Linked DNA regions of Daphnia pulex. The protein of the gene in region 1 purifies or fractionates together with the protein of each later gene. This does not show direct contact. Links are inferred from orthologs where the notes say so. Each region holds a gene or a part of one and is shown on either strand. Other genes may lie near its edges.

Region 1 (4,216 bases):
GGAGGTTGTGTCCGAATGGGCTGCGTGTGATGCGGATGGCGATTTTTCCCTCCCGTTTCTTCCATGTCTGGTGGATGGTCGGTCGGTCGGATCTCGGTTGGCGCGGGAGCGACGCGGCGGTGCTGCTGCTGGTGCGTGAACAGGTCAACGGACCGCCAGCCCCGCCGCCTTCTCTAGATTAACTCGAGTTAAATTATAGATATTCTCTTATATCTTCGCCTATCTAGCTAAGACACAAATGAAGTTCCTTCCGTCCTCCGCTAATCCCTCCTCTTCGTGAAAGATGAACGCGTTCAAAATAAATACCTAGAAAGAAATATTTTCATCGCGGGTCATCGTGATGATGATGATCATTGCCCCGGTCAATTCCAACTTCTTTTCGCTTTGCCTCCCATCCAAATCGATTCTCGGTGATGTTTTCTTTCACAATAATTGGCGTGTCTGTGCATAATAGCTGTGATGATCACGGCTGCGTGAATATTCGAGAATGAAAGCCATCAACTTTCGTTTCTTTTCTTTTTTAAAACGTTTAACTATGTTATACGATTCGATATTTCCTATCGCTCTTCTTTTCTTTTTATGATTTTATTATATGATCTTAATCATGTTCACGGTGTATTTTGCTGATGGGTCGTCAGATAAGAGCGCCAATAACTGTCGACTCCGCCACCACCGTCGCGCTGTCGTTGGCTGTCAACTCCAGTCATGTGAATCACCGTCGCCGTCGCAACACCCGGACTCTCATCGCAAGGCAGAAAGAATAAACCGTTAGCTTTTGGCAGATGTGAATTGTATGTGTGTGGCTTTTCCAGGAGAAAAACGAACCCGGTTGAGTTGGCACATCATCCTACTATATATATACTATTTGGATTTCATGGGCAACAGCACAAGAGTGCTGCTGCGAAATCGTTCGTCTTTTATACACCGCAGACTCTCTGACCAGCAGCCGATGAACGTTTCCAGCAGCATATTTATTAATCACATGGAGCCGGGCAGCGATGCTGCACATTATCAAATGACATCAGCTTCGTGCTGCACCAGATGCTGGCTAGTTTATACATTTTGATGAAGAATTGTTACTTGTAAATCAACTTGCGACTCAACCCTGCGACCGCGGGTGAAATCGAAGCGTGATGTTTGCGCGAATTAATAGATTGAATGTGTATGTTCATGTCGTTTGAACTTATATTTAATTTATTATCTTTTTTAAATACTGAAGGTGGACATTTAAAGCCCCAAAGCTTTTTTGTAGAATTATATCCGGAAAAGTATTTTTTTTTTTTGACGCCTCCTTAGTTCTGGTGCATATAGTTACCACCAGTCGTCTCTAGTTGTCGTTCTTTTATTTTGGCGGGTGGACATTTGTAGCCCAGCAGACGAAATTAGCAAATTTTTTGAAATAACAATTTTCTGTTTTTGTCTGAACTGAAGTTCTTATGAAAATTGTATCTTTTTCTAAGAGCGTGTTAAAACCCAAAATTTTCGCACGAAATGAACACAGTGAAGCCAGTTTCATCTGCTTGGGACTATCTGAAACAAACTTTGAACCTTGATGGAAAATGTCAAGTATGATTCTTTTTTTGTTACTTGTAGATTTGTTTCATTACTCTTGTTTCACGCTCACCGTTTGAATTTTTACATGCAGAAGGAATTAGACAGAACCGAAATTGAAGGATGTGCAGAATTCATTGTTAACCATGATTTGGTAGACTTCAGCAAGGAATTGGTTTGGCAGAAGCTGTTCAATGACACACGAAATAGGATAACCCCTAATTTTTGGTCCAGATTTGAAGTGACTCAGAATGAAAATTCTGGTTACGAAAACTATAGGGAGGCTGTTAAAGTTCTGAACACCGACATTAAAAGCCTTCAGCATTACTTTTCCTTGTTGGATCACCTGTCAGGAAATGTCACGCCAAAATCATTCGCCCAATATCAGGCACACCTCAGTGCAATTTTGCTGTCTCAGATACCACCAAAGTTTGAATGCTGTGTGAATTTCTTCTACAGCCGAGCTTTCAGAGCATTCATGTCTTTAGAAAAAAGGAATTTTAACTTTGGTATTATACTTGTTCTAAAGTAGGTTTATAATTGAATTTTTAATTTACATCTTTCTACTCAAGATGGAGATGAGTCTGGTGATGTTATCACTCACTGTTCAGGGTGTGACCAAGAAATTGATCAATGTGAATGTAATGTCATTCTAGACAATTGTCATAACACCAACAAGTAAAAAAAAAAAACATTTTTCTCTTTGATTATGTTTCAGCACATTTGATCATATTTATTTTTTTAGGGCTTTGGCTGAAATAGGAATACTTGAGAAACTATCTGTGGGGATGATTCACACTCTCATTTTGACTCAAATCCAATCACATGTCCAGGATTCATGTGTAGGAAACTTTTCCTCTTCTCAAATTGAAATGCTTGAAAAGGTATTTTATTAATGTGCTAATGGTCTTAATGGGCATTTGAATCACCCTGTTCGTTTCTTGTTCTGAACCATTTGCAGTGGTTGCAAAACATAATTTTTCGGTGGTTAGGTATCGTCTATGGAGAAGACTACATCCAACAGGATCAAGTGCGAAAAAATTTTACCCAATTCCTGTACCACGCCTATACACACGCTAGAATCGAACAGTTATTCGAGATCATTATCGGTTCGTCAATTCCAAATCATGTATTGTGTTCATTGTTTCATAATCTTTCTTGTAATAGGCTACCCCGAGAGCTTTCCTTCGGTAAAGGATTTACAGGAATGCCTTTCACGGACGCAGTTGAAACCAATTTTGGCGCAGTCTCTTAAAACGACTTTAGAAGCAAGATTGCTTCACCAGGGAGCCACAACAGAAGACATACTAATCGCCTACGTATCGGCCATAAGAGCGTTTAGCGTACTTGATCCCACTGGCGTGCTTCTCGATGTAGCGTGTGATCCGATCAAGTATTATTATTATTCAATTTCGATCCGTCACTTTTGGCTTATGATGTATTCAACTATTTCCAACAGGCAATATTTGCGACTTAGAGGAGACACTGTTCGGCATATAATTCACAGTTTGACTGACAGTAGCGGAGAGCTGGGCGGAGAGCTTGAGTTGGGAAGAACGGGAACTGCTATACTGGATGAAGAATCTGTTGCAGCAGTTGGAGATACCGAAGCCTCAACCGATTGGGAAAATTGGCTTCCAGCACCAAGCGATGCCGATCCTAGCAAACTTTGGACAGGAAAAAAGCCGGTAATTTCATCTTGTTAATAAAGATGTTTTTAAAATAGTTTCGGTTCTGTAAAACAAATTCTTATTTAAAAGGGCGATATTGTACCAATGTTGGTGAACATCTACGGCAGTAAAAGCCTGTTTGTCAAGGAATATCGCAAGCTTTTGTCGGATCGATTGCTCCTGAACCTTCATTTTGACACAGAAGAAGAGATTCGTAATTTAGAATTTCTCAAAATTCGATTTGGAGAAAACGAATTGCACAATTGCGAAGTGATGCTCAAGGACGTGGCAGACTCCAAGAGAATCAACACCCACCTACAGTCGGTCGTGCACAAACCTGAAGTACGTTTTTAATTCGTTTAGCGCATCGATAAATAAAAGTTAATTTTTTTTCTATTTATTTCCATCCAGTTTCCGATTTCGGCTATGATTATATCAGCTCAGTATTGGGACCAGCTGAAGGACAAACCGATGAAGTTGCCGATCAAAATCATCAACCAGCTCGAACAATATAATCAAAACTATAAAACGGTGAAAACGAGTCGTTCTCTGCATTGGGTACCTCAGTCGGGTTCTGTGGAACTGGAACTGGAGTTTGATAATCACCGTTGCGTGTCTTTCACCGTCCCGCCCGATTTGGCTGCCATCATATCTCATTTTGAAGACAAGGATCAATGGGATTTGGAAGAGCTTAGCCAGGAAATGGAATTACCAATGTCTCATCTTCGAAGGCGAGTTCACGTGTGGCAAACACACGGGGTCCTCCAGGAAATTTCTACTGATCGCTTCAAAGTGGATGAAAATGGACCAAATTTCACAGGACATAAGGTATATCTTAAAAAGTTATTACCGTTTCTCAAATGTATGTATTTTGCAATTACGTCCTTTTCGTAGATTCTTTTAGAAACGCTAGCGAAAATGGAGGAAGAAGAAGAAGATGACGACGAGGAAGATAGTGAGAAAAAAACGGAAGAAGATGGTTTGCAAGTTTATTG
Region 2 (4,184 bases), on another chromosome or scaffold:
CTTCTTCAATGGTTGGCTTGAAAACGATAGCTTTTAACATATGCATATATTTTGTTTTTCACTTTAAATTGAATTTACCTCTTCATCAGAATCAGGAAGATCATCAGCTTCCAAATCCAGATGATTTTCTAGTTTAGCTACCAATGCGTTTTCAAGCCTATTGATGGCCTCAATGGTTTTTACGTTATTCGGTTCAAGCCTAAAATTACAAAGAAAAAAATTAAACACATGCATAGTATGTGAATATGCAAGTTAAAGTAAAATCAAGTGATAAAGATTCTCGTACATTAGTGCAGAATTGTACTGTTCCAATGCTTTATCCATATCTCCATTTTTTATGAATAGGTCTCCCAAAATATGATGTAACCTGTTTGTAGGTTGCTGATTTATTTGCTTAGTAAGCAGTTCAATGGCTTTTGATCTCTGGCCAGCCTGAAAATAATTGTAGTCAATGGTAGTTCAGTGAGTGGTTCTGTAGGATTGTACAGCTACTCACCTGCTCATACGAGTCGATTAAAAGGAATACAGCTGGAGTGTATCGAGGATCTACAACGGAAAACGTTATACAATTTTTTTTTTACACCGGAAACTATTCATGTTAATTTTACCCATGTTCAAAGCTCTTTCAAGGAAAACCTTGCCCTTTGCGGTTGTAACAGGATCCTTCAACAGGACGGATGCGTAGAGCTGCAAAGAGCAGTCAGCAATTTAATTAATGGCTCATTTGATAAAAATCTGCTTTAAACGAATGATTAACACGAAACACTGTAAAGAATGCTAACCGTGAAAGTGCGAGGTGTATGACCAATATGATGAAGAGAGCTAGCAGCTATATTCATGGCTTCTCGACTTCGCTGAAGCGCTAGATAACAGTGAACTATACCACGATAGATTTCGAATCGGTGCGGAGCTGTCTGTAATCCTTCCCTATTATCATGTTAAACTTGTTGTTAATATTACTATAATTTTTTTTTAAATATTACTAAAATTTAAAAAATATCTCAATAATTAAAAAATATATTTCAATAATTTTTTTTTAAACATCACAGGACTTACCTAAAATGTGTGATAGCTTCAGGCCATTTTTTAAGCTCTTGTAAAATCGTACCCTTAAGGATTAGGGGCTCTATCCCAGGGGTTGGAATGCAACATGTGCAAGCCTATGAGAAATATGTTTGCGCGGTTTTTAAAACTATTTGTAATAAGACCACATCGGCATTGCTATCTTACTTTATGCGCAAGGTACAGAGCGCGAGTTAGTTTGCGTGACAAAAGATAATGGTATCCCATGGCCACCTAATTTGATAAATTAAAATTAATACAGGAACAAGGGTAATTAGAAATAAAAAACAAATAATTTTACCCACGATTCGAAGCTAGAATCAGAAACAGAGATTAGCTTGAGAGCTAGTGCTTCAAGTTCAACACTTTTCTTTTCATTCGCTAAAATGACTGCTAAAATATCCATTCCTTTTAGCGACAAAGGATCGAGGGAATGCGCCTGAACAAACGCAAATATGAGATGAGCACCAGATATTTTTTTTCTCAAATCATTTAACATACTCGTTGAAGCGGTAGAAGGGCGCCCGCTCCATCCCCGGCCAAGAAAAGGGTTGTTCCTTGTGATACCAAATTTGTTACATCATCTTTGAGCAATGATGCATCTTGCAAATGGCAAAAAATGGTAGAAGCACTCAAATATTCACAAGAATGAAGATGGCACTGTCCTTTGATCCACTGAACAACCCTTCAGAATTTAAGGGAAAAAAACGAAAATAAACATTATTCAACAAAGATTTACATTTTATACATATGAGCCTACTCACCAATCTAAGTTATTTGATGGGTTTCCATTAAAAATTAAACGAACAAGTTCAACATAACTAACTCCAAGTTTAATCAAAGCCAATATAGCTTCTAGGGCCAAAGGACATTCACGAATAACCTCTTTAAAAGCAGAAATGGCTGGGCGTTCAAGCCCATTCATAACATACAACTTGCCTAAAGCCATATTAACCCTAACTGATCGTAGTTTGGCTGGGATCCCTTGAAGGACAAGAAGTGCTTGCACTGACTGTTTTAAAGCAAGGTGGCATATGTGCATTTGATAGCGAATCTCTAGAATTGTTATTTCAAACTTATTTAGGAAAAACTTGTTTATACTTTAAAACAGAACATCAAACCTGTTTCAGCTGAAAGCTCTTTGGCAGCACTATTTCCCATCCCCCTTTGTTTAGAAAGGGTTTTTCTCAGATCTAGGGCTTTTCTGTAATAAACTTCTGCTTTTCCATATTCCTTTTGTTCAAGGAATGAATCTGCAAGGTACACCATTGTTTGGGCAATGCTTGCAGGAGGTAAAAGCTCAGGATTGTTATCAGTAGCTGAAAGAACCATTGGAGCCTGTAGAAAAATTCCAGATATTCATTAGATTGGTAATTAGCATAGACTACACTACTTCGTAGTCTATGGTAATAGAATGAAATCTACACTGAACTCATTCCTATTGTCATACTCAAGGTAAAAGTCACCAGTAGCACTTATTCAAAATGGAATAATATGAGTTGTAGGAGTAGATACTACTGCCCAAACAAAAATATAAATGATATAACTAAAACATTTGTTAATATTTATAGCATTGCAATACAATGGTGACATTTAGCTATCGATAACATTCACGGAAAGCACAAGAAACTATATAGTTACCAGAGCAACAATATTTGTATAAAGTTTGTTATCAAACAACATTTGAATTTGCTCGTGAAGAATCATAATGACTAACTCTGAAAGTAATATATATACTCAAAGAGAAGAAAAAAACTATAACACAAACTTGATCAGCAGTCACCAATAAGAAAATCACAATATAAAGTGGTAAAGTGCAGAGAAGGGTTGGAAACGCGTAAAGTGCGGGATTATCGGTACGGAGAGACAACAAACAGCGTAGGCCTACCGGCGCACCAGCGTACTGAATGCTGAATCTACTAATTTCGTTAAAATTATTTAAAAAATTAAATTATTATCTAATCAAATTCAACATTCAGTAACAACATTCAATATTTTACTAACGTAAAACAATGTATATTTATTTTATTCCTTCCTCGACGAGAAACAGGAAAGAGAGATGCAAATAAAATTAAGTGGACGCTTTAATTTAGGGAGCAAAGTGTGGGAACATAAATATAAGAATAAAGTTATTAAAGGGAGGACGATGTTAGAACATGAACGGATTCATCATCGCCATTTGCTGTCGAAGCATCATCATTTGTTGCTGTCGTTGAAGCAAGAGCATTTGCTGCTGATGCATCATTTGTACGGCCTGAACGCTCATTGCCGCATTGCTCCCGAACGATGAATAAGGTAGACCACCGGCGACCATTGATCTATTGGGATCGGTGTAGTATCCTTGGCGGTTGGGGTTGCTTGAAGAGGCCAGATTGGCCAAACCCAAGAGTTGAATCAACGTCTGGTATCGTTGCAATTCCTGTTGGCTTCTGCTCGGCTGCTGCGCCAGGCTCATCTGAGAGAAGCCCAACTGTCCTTGCTGGGCCAACGGATTGACCATCATGGCAGCTTCCTGTTTCGTCACCGTCTGCTTGATTTGTTCCCAAAGCTGAGGACGCTTAGCCGGAGGCTCGTTCAGAAGCTGGGCCATCAGGATTTGTTGTTTGTTAAATTGCTGAGCTTCCGGTTTCACCTGCTGCTGGAGTACCTGCTGCTGGACCAAGAGCTGCTGCTTTTGCGCTTCCAGGTTCTGTTGAAGTTGCTGCAACTGTGGATTGAGCGCCGCTTGCATCACAGCACCAGGTTGGTGGCCGTTCACCATATTACTCTGATCTATAAATGCAAGAATGAAGGAAAAACAAGATAGAGGTCAATCAACTGATCAAACGGTTCTTAATGGCGTGAACGGAATTCGACTGTCATTTGTGTGTCACACGCATACATACTTGTTATGGCTGCCTGTGCTGTTGCAATCTGGTCTTGCTTGATGTGAACCGAAGCTAATAGACCCTGCTGTTGTTTTTGGTTCTGCAAATGGAAGTTTTCCTGTTTCTGTGCCTCCAGTTCGGAGGCTATGGACATGGGGTTGTTGTTGGAGTTGGTCATTTGCTGCAGGAGGGCCAATTGCTGAAGAGGACTTTGCATTCCGGCCGCGCTTCCACCGCTCAGCCCAGTGGCTCCTG

What was found.
Region 2: the proteins of anaphase-promoting complex subunit 2-like (region 1) and anaphase-promoting complex subunit 7-like fractionate together in Homo sapiens (co-fractionation; 6 studies listed by BioGRID and IntAct, with this or other methods). This does not show direct contact. The link is inferred for Daphnia pulex from reciprocal best matches to the Homo sapiens genes ANAPC2 and ANAPC7.

The regions. Positions count from the first base shown.
Region 1 is NC_060023.1:8,674,879-8,679,094, reverse strand, and holds the start of anaphase-promoting complex subunit 2-like, read left to right. Parts: upstream 1-1,379; 5' UTR 1,380-1,491; coding exon 1,492-1,566; intron 1,567-1,645; coding exon 1,646-2,060; intron 2,061-2,123; coding exon 2,124-2,229; intron 2,230-2,296; coding exon 2,297-2,435; intron 2,436-2,512; coding exon 2,513-2,660; intron 2,661-2,718; coding exon 2,719-2,944; intron 2,945-3,010; coding exon 3,011-3,239; intron 3,240-3,311; coding exon 3,312-3,563; intron 3,564-3,632; coding exon 3,633-4,049; intron 4,050-4,115; coding exon 4,116-4,216. UniProt on the Homo sapiens protein: Together with the RING-H2 protein ANAPC11, constitutes the catalytic component of the anaphase promoting complex/cyclosome (APC/C), a cell cycle-regulated E3 ubiquitin ligase that controls progression through mitosis and the G1 phase of the cell cycle.
Region 2 is NC_060017.1:4,025,494-4,029,677, reverse strand, and holds the start of anaphase-promoting complex subunit 7-like, read right to left. Parts: upstream 2,947-4,184; 5' UTR 2,770-2,946; coding exon 2,704-2,769; intron 2,401-2,703; coding exon 2,184-2,400; intron 2,119-2,183; coding exon 1,827-2,118; intron 1,748-1,826; coding exon 1,564-1,747; intron 1,502-1,563; coding exon 1,364-1,501; intron 1,297-1,363; coding exon 1,231-1,296; intron 1,161-1,230; coding exon 1,057-1,160; intron 928-1,056; coding exon 783-927; intron 688-782; coding exon 609-687; intron 547-608; coding exon 497-546; intron 433-496; coding exon 287-432; intron 200-286; coding exon 79-199; intron 17-78; coding exon 1-16. Other genes in the region: myb-like protein K, read right to left, coding at 3,212-3,834, 3,948-4,184. UniProt on the Homo sapiens protein: Component of the anaphase promoting complex/cyclosome (APC/C), a cell cycle-regulated E3 ubiquitin ligase that controls progression through mitosis and the G1 phase of the cell cycle.